2 linked regions of the Nothobranchius furzeri genome follow. The protein of the gene in region 2 binds, or shares a complex with, the protein of the main gene of each other region. Links are inferred from orthologs where the notes say so. Each region holds a gene or a part of one and is shown on either strand. Other genes may lie near its edges.

The links. The genes of interacting proteins can lie anywhere in the genome.
Region 1: the proteins of gigyf1a (region 2) and tnrc6c1 are in contact, whole or in part, in a crystal structure (PDB 7RUQ), measured with the Homo sapiens proteins. The link is inferred for Nothobranchius furzeri from reciprocal best matches to the Homo sapiens genes GIGYF1 and TNRC6C. Residues at the interface, in NP_001362694.1 of Homo sapiens: Tyr479, Asp481, Pro482, Gln487, Phe490, Trp498, Tyr503, Phe504, Leu508; in NP_001136112.2 of Homo sapiens: Arg1719, Pro1720, Pro1721, Pro1722, Gly1723, Leu1724, Thr1725.

The regions. Positions count from the first base shown.
Region 1 is NC_091752.1:53,971,004-53,974,656, forward strand, and holds part of tnrc6c1 (trinucleotide repeat-containing gene 6C protein), read right to left. Parts: coding exon 2,540-3,653; intron 485-2,539; coding exon 290-484; intron 1-289. UniProt on the Homo sapiens protein: Plays a role in RNA-mediated gene silencing by micro-RNAs (miRNAs). Required for miRNA-dependent translational repression of complementary mRNAs by argonaute family proteins.
Region 2 is NC_091742.1:83,832,266-83,835,918, forward strand, and holds part of gigyf1a (GRB10-interacting GYF protein 1), read right to left. Parts: intron 2,816-3,653; coding exon 2,650-2,815; intron 2,571-2,649; coding exon 2,278-2,570; intron 2,054-2,277; coding exon 1,950-2,053; intron 1,010-1,949; coding exon 909-1,009; intron 840-908; coding exon 766-839; intron 695-765; coding exon 560-694; intron 481-559; coding exon 304-480; intron 234-303; coding exon 22-233; intron 1-21. UniProt on the Homo sapiens protein: May act cooperatively with GRB10 to regulate tyrosine kinase receptor signaling. May increase IGF1 receptor phosphorylation under IGF1 stimulation as well as phosphorylation of IRS1 and SHC1.

The DNA of each region.
Region 1 (3,653 bases), on a different chromosome or scaffold from region 2:
AACATTTTATGTAATTTTTAAAGAAATAAATGTAATATAATGATAAAAGTATTGAGACAAATATATGCAACGAGGACAGAGTAAAACCAACATGCTGCACAGACATTAAATTAAACGCTGCAGCCACTAGGGGGCAGTGTGGACCTATGGCTAAAAAAATGGGGTTTTCTGTCACATTGTCCTTGATTTGACTCAGCAGGAGAAAAACACTGTTTGCTTCAGCGGCGGAGCTAGAGCATGCCATCAGTATTCACATGTTAACACCGTTGCAAACCCAGGATTTACTTACTGGGTTTACAGGAAGCAGTGGTCATTGTCTGGTTGCTCCTGCTGTAGCTGTCTGGGTTGCCGTCTCCCCAGCCTCCAGAGCTCCCGCTCGGTTTGCCCCAGGCAGACGTGCCATTATCCATGCTGCCTGGAGAGGGTGCAGGGTCGCCCCAAGAGCTTTCTGATTTAGTGTGGGAGCTGGGTAGCTCGCCCCAACCTGGAGGGCACGCAAGGACAGCAGTGTGAAAAACAAAAACGTCCCACGAGATCAGGACGAGTGTCTAGGAAACACGATAGGTTAACGGTATCCATGGTCTCTTTCCCCCCATATTTGGTTTTTCTAACCAGGTATAGCAAACTTAATGATAGAGGTCGACCGATCTATTGCCGATACTGATATGTAGGAGACACGGTAAGCTGATGGCAGATATGTACTGCCGATTTTCATGGCCGATATCCTTCTTATTTTCATGCTAAAATCTCACTAATAACAAAGTTTCTGAAGCTGGATCCGTTTTTTGAACTCTAAATTCAACCAATCGTTAAATCTTAACTTTTTGCACCGCTCAGTGTTAAAATCAGACAAATAGAATTAATTTAAAGTATTTATTGTGCAGATGTTTTTGTGAATTGAATTCTGTAACAGAACCGGGTTGCTCGAGGATGCGCCTGAATTTAAATCGGCTTTATTTAGGACTAATATTGGCCGATACCAATTTATATAAAAAATATAAATAATACGGTAAATATCGGCGGACCGATACATCACCCTACCCCTACCTAAGGGCTTTCAAGATTTTTAGAATTATGTCAAAATATTTATAGTAAAGGCCTTTTGGCTCATCCTGTTAAGATTAGTAATGTTCTATAATAATCACGTGTTGCAGCCGCTCTGATAAACTCTCCTCACATTTTAAAATGATCTTACTGCAGAATGCTAAATTACGTGACAAAACTGCATCATTACTATTATTTTTAACAGCAGCAGTAATAATATTATTCAGAAATTTTAAACAAAAACCAGAAAAAGAAGCATTTAGCAAATTACTTATGATGTTGCAAAACGATCTAAAATAACTAATTTCAATCCAGCTTGATTGGGAACTTTAGCAGTGAGGACAGCAAATTGGTTTTATTAAGTCAGTCCAGCTGATGCAGAAGTTTTAACCTTTTTATGAGACGTTCTCACACCAAGCGTCATAACTAATTATTGTGTGTATGATTTAAATACCATTCATTCACCTTGGCTTGATTTTTTTATTTCAAACTTATTTATAGGAGCTGAAGGTTAAATGCGACGAGGTTGAGAGTGAAGCACCAGCCATGCAGGGAGGTAGAAAAGTGGGCTTGGCTGAGCCAGACTGTCGGTAGAGGGAGGAGGTCCCCGTTTAAGCTCTGGCACATGCAAGTCTATTTTGGCATGAGAAGCACGGTGCTGCCGTTACGCCTGCAGCAATGCCAGACTCAGCTTAGCTCTCCCACCGGGGAAAGGTCAAGTCCAAAAGGCTGATCCAAAATTAAAGTTACAGTCAACCTTCTGGTATGGGAGACCAGAAACCTACAACCATCTCAAGAAACCTTAGCAGGACAAGCAGATGCTATTTTCACATTAGTAAGAAATTCTTCATTTTTTTTTCACTAAAACATCTAATGAGGTTTCATCCAAGTCCATCACAGGCAGCAACTGCAGAGTCTAATGAAGAACAGCAGGGGGCATCTGCTCTCTTTGGCTGTCTGGGAACATGCTCCACCTTCTCCCCTAAACTACTGACAGATGGTGGCTCCCATATAATCACACACTTCCGATCTGTCTCAAACTGTTTTGTGGCAAATCAGTATTTTCACGAGGCACGCAGTAAACAGCATTTTTGTGCTTCTTTTGGGTACCCGTGTCAGGTTGCCAGGGTTACCCCCTCACACGGTTGTATTCAGTGTTGTGAAACGTGTGAGAGCCTCTTGAAAGAAAAGAGCTGGCACTGCGTCGCTGATCTAGAGAGTTGATTAGACGTAAATCTCAAGAGAGCAACTAGGTCAAGATTTTAACTTAAGTAGATCAACAGCTTGGAGCTTAACAGTGCGCTGTACTAACTACCTAACCAGCTTCCACGTTTGGCACCTTCACTTTGGACAATAAAGAAGAAACAAGCAACAAGAACTTAAGTAACAATCTAAGTCACCTTTAAAGTTTGAATGACAGTGAAATGTACCTTTAAAACTGTGAACTCTGATTAATACTCAAGCACTGTACAATGTGATCATTAAATGATCCTACCTTGAGCTATAAGGGGACTTCTGATGTGAGATTGCCCAGACTGATGTTGCACTGGAGGATCCCTAGGCCCAGTGGCAGGGCATGGGTTTGGAGTGTTTTGGCTATGGTTCGGTAAAAGTGCAGGCAGCCCGTGATAAGGGTGATTGTGAGTGTGGGGGTGGTTGTTGCTGGAACCTGGAGGGCTATTGCCCCCAGTGGTAATTTTCGCCTGGGACATCCCTGAATTGTTTCTATCCCACAGATTAACGGCCTTATTGTAGGCACCAGGGTCACCCCAAGCAGAGGTCCCATCATCTATCTCCATTTTACGTCGGATTGAAGGTGGAGAAGGCTCTTCCCAGCCTGTGGGCTCATTTGGGGGTTCCTGCTTGCTGCCACTCGAGCCTCCACTCTGCTTCACTGAGCCGGAACCACCCCACGAGCCCACGGCTCCTCCTCCACAATTACTACTGGGTCCATCTTGAGGCTTGTTCATCCAACCTTGGGGGGGACCACAAGGACGTTGGGGTGCGGACTCACCCCAGCCCCCATTTCCTCCAGCTCCAGATATCCCTGGTCCTGAAGCAGACATTCCCCAGTCTTGTTTATTTTCCTTCCAGTTTCCAGATTCTCCTTCCCAATCAGGGTTTGCAGAACTCTTTTTGGTCTCTTCTGGTTCCTCCCAGTCTCCTGTGTTATTGATTCCACCATTATTGCCCCAGGTGTGGGATGATTTGGGTTGGTCTCCCCAGCCCTGGGATGCTGGCTTGCCTTGAGAAGCTTCCCAACCAGCAGATTTTTCCTCTCCCCAGGACTGATTACCATTCTTGGGTATGTTGTTGGTTGGAACGCCTGATGGAGGGTTTCCCCATCCATCAGGTCCAACAGGGTGTTTAATATTGTTGGTTGGCTCTCCCCAACCTGAACTGGGCATGTGTGTAGCAGCCATGCTCCCACCCCAACCAGAAGCTCCCTGAGAACCAGGCACATCATTTTTACTCCCATTGTCAGTCCTCGAAGCAGGCCCGGTATTAGTGTTTATGGGTCCCTGCACTTCACTTGAAGTGGATGGGCCAGAGCCCCATGATTCAGTGCCAACATCATTCTTTCGTTTAGTATCATCCATATGCCAGGT
Region 2 (3,653 bases):
ATACATAAAGCAGGTCCACACCTGAGAGACGGGCTGCTGCGGCTGTTCTTCAGACCCAGGTTGTTGTTGCCACGGAGACCAGCCTGGCTCTTCACAGCCTCGTCCCACATCCCCATGCTCCCAGAAGAGCTTCCGCTCCCAGCCTTCCCCTCCAGACCGGGACTGCCCCACATGCCCATACCCTCGGCCAACTGCCCGCTCATGGAGGAGCTCCCCATGGACATGCTGGAGTGCTGGAAGAGGAGAGACAGGTTGTTTACAGTTACCTACAACATCCCATCATGCACTGGGGTCAGGACTCACTCTCTGCTGCTGGGCTCTCTGCTGCTGCATCTCCAGCAGAGTCAGAGCCTGGGACTTTGCTGCCTTTGATAGCCCGGATGAAGAAGCGCTGCTCCAGCTGGAGCCGCCGCCCCCCTGGCCCTGCTGCTGGGGGGTCTGCTGCAGCAGCTTCATGATCAGCTCCTGCTGCTGACGACACTGCACACACAACACCATCACGCTGGGCTTTCCTCCCATCACAAAAACTAGACGCTCCAGATTCCTTCAATCGCCCCACCTGTTTGCGTCTGAAGAGCTCCTCCTCCTCCCTCCTCTTCTGCTCCTCCTGCTGCCTCCTCTTCTCCTCCCTTCGTTTGCGCTCCTCCTCTTCCCGCTTCGCCCTGAGTTCAGCGTCTCTCCTCTCCTGCTGGAGCTGATGAGAGCAGGTCAGCGGCGTGAGTCAAACAGCAGCAGAGAGCAAAGTAACATCAGGACTAAACTGACCTTCTGAAGCTGTTCAAGAGTTGGACCCTGAGTAGAAGGATTCATTGTTAAGTCCCAAAGACTGGCTTCACCGCCTGCATGGAGACAATGAGATGGTTAGGTTCTGCTGAGGAGTTTGATTGGTCATGCTGAGAGGAACCGACCTGACGGCTGTGAAGCTGAGGTATGCATGTCCCACATGGACCCTGTATCTGGCACTGACATCGACCTGTTCATCGAAGGCATTATACCCTGCTCACTGCACCTGGGACACAGAGGGAACGACCATTACAGTCACAGGTTCATCACGAGGTCAAAATGATGACAAAATAGGTACAGCGGGCATTTATTAATCAGCTTTAGCCCAAAATACTCCAGGAACGCTCCAGTGTGGCCCGCCAAAATAACCAAGAACCTCAGATCTTTTATTATGACTCGATACATTTAATACCTTCAGAATAAACCTTGATCACCTGTAAGTTTAGGCTTCAAACCACCTTTTTTTGTAGCAAATGTCATATAAATGTTTGATGTGTGACCACTGGGTACCACTTTACAACAATGCACACCTTGTAAATGGCTAATAACTCATTCATAGATGTACTAATTAATCAGTAACACTGTATAAAACCATAAGTTCTTATTATGCATTAAATAAGGGAAAGAAGAAAACAGATTTGGTTCATTTTGCAAGAAACCAATGAGATTTGGGCCTTTCTGTCCTTTAATTAATATATATTAAACACTTAGTGATAATTAAACTGTTATAGAATCATTAAAAATCTCTAAACTATAAGGGACCTTTGAACTATTACAGATCAGTTTACCTAAACTTCTTGTATAATAAACATTTTTATGCTTCATCAAAACATTTACATTTCTAACCCTGCATCAGTTCAAGTGTGATTAAAAAGGCAACAGAATTAAAATAAACGTTACACTCTTCAATAGCCAGTTGTGCTATTTTTTTTAGTTTAGAAAATATTGAGATCATATTTTCAAAAGACTGAAGTTACCAATTCACACCAGAGGGTGGCAGAGTTGAGCTTTTTACTGTTTAATAAATGTGAGAGTTTAATAAAGCAGACAACAGCTGCTGAAGCTGAGACGCACCGGTGTGCTAGCAATCTGTGCCACGGAGCATGTGGGCTGTAATTTGTTGATGGATTACACAGGTGTGTGTGTGTGTGTGTGTGTGTGTGTACCTATTGATGAGCTGGAATAGCTGCTGCTGTTGGAGCTGCTGATAAAGAGCTGCTGCTGCCAGCTCTTGCTGCTGCTTCTTCAGACGCTCCTGGTCCAGGTTTCCCTGGAAACGGGACACAAGACATCCTCAGTTTGGTAAAACCCAACCTGCAGCAATTTGGTTTGATGTAGCTTTTGTCATCAAATTATAACAAACTTAATGACGTCATGGAGGTCACATGACTGAACGACAGCTGACACAAAAGTGGTTGTGATGCGTTTCAGAGACATTTATAAGTAAAACCAACAGAAGACATGAATGTAGATTAGAAGTAAATATCTCATTACAGCCTGTCTCCTCATGCCCCCTCTGATGTCCACCTCCCCATCTTGCGGCTCTGCAGAAGTCTGACTCACAGTCCCGGCGGGCCCCCGGTTGGGCTGCGGGCGCTGCGTCGGTGGGTGTTGTCTCACCAGCAGGGGGGGTGGGGAGGGGCCCGGGGCGAAGGGCACGCGGCCCCACATCTTGATGACGTCTCCCAGGGGCTGAAAGCCCTCGTCGCAGCCCCGCTTCACCAGCAGGGTCATGGTGAAATAACCAGCCTGGAACCACTCACACATCTCCACTGTGGTGAATGGACCTGCAGACCCAGAACACAGACAACCATCAGCACTTCTGACCCAACCATCACCCTAACCCCACTCAGGAATCAGGCGTACCCTGGATCTCCCCCTGAGGGTCTTTGTAGAACCACTTCATGGCCGCCTCGTGGGTGAGTGGCAGAGCAGCGGCTGTGTTCCTGCTCTCCTGTTGCTGCAGAGCCTGGGTGAAACACTCCTCCTCCAAGGAGGTGTCCTGCAGCGACGCCACCATCTTCTCTGCCTCCTACATAAGCACACATTACACCAGTATTCAGCAGCTTCACTTCTCATCCGAGGAGCTTGGTCAGTTCTGACTGGAATATGGAAGGGTCAAGCGTATAAACTGTAGCTGTCTATTGTTGTTTAACGAGCAGATACTACCTATGAACACCCCACCCCCTGAGCAGTTGTTGAAGTCATTATGTCCCATTGTGTTACAATGCTGTTTTGATTAGATGCAGAAGGGTGTGACCTAGACTAAAACCATTTAGAGCTGCGTCGTAGGTGCTACATCCCAGAACGGCTTCTGGTATTGTTTTCATGTTTTTCTTTTAAGTTTATTTTCTAACTTGTATTCTAAGTTTTTACCAGAGCAAAAGAGCTTTTCATAGCATTCTGTTTACTGGATCTTTAAAAAAAATCTACCAGCCTCTGGATCTTTGTCCAGAAATGTCCGCTTACACCGACCTCCGATCGCTGTGAAAGGAGGGAGGGAGTTGGTGCGCATAAAATGCTCAGACAGTTATTACATTAATGTGGTGGGACCTGAATTATTTGTGGGGAAAAATCTGTAAAAGAGGAAAAAAAAAACAAACGCTTCAGAAAGCTAAGGAGATTTATTCCTGGACACGCAGTGAGTGAGCTGTCCTATTTCAAGCCATTTTGTTATTTAATCAGCGATCTATAAGACCTATAGAAAGTTACATATTGTGCAAAAAAATGTTGCACAAGTGTTCTACAACATAAAGAGATTTGCTGATCCGAAACAAAATCCGATTTGTGACTGAAGACCGTGATCCCATCCAGATTTTGATCCGTTGCACCACTAGTGAGAACGTTCCTCATGAACTGCGGTCATGAAG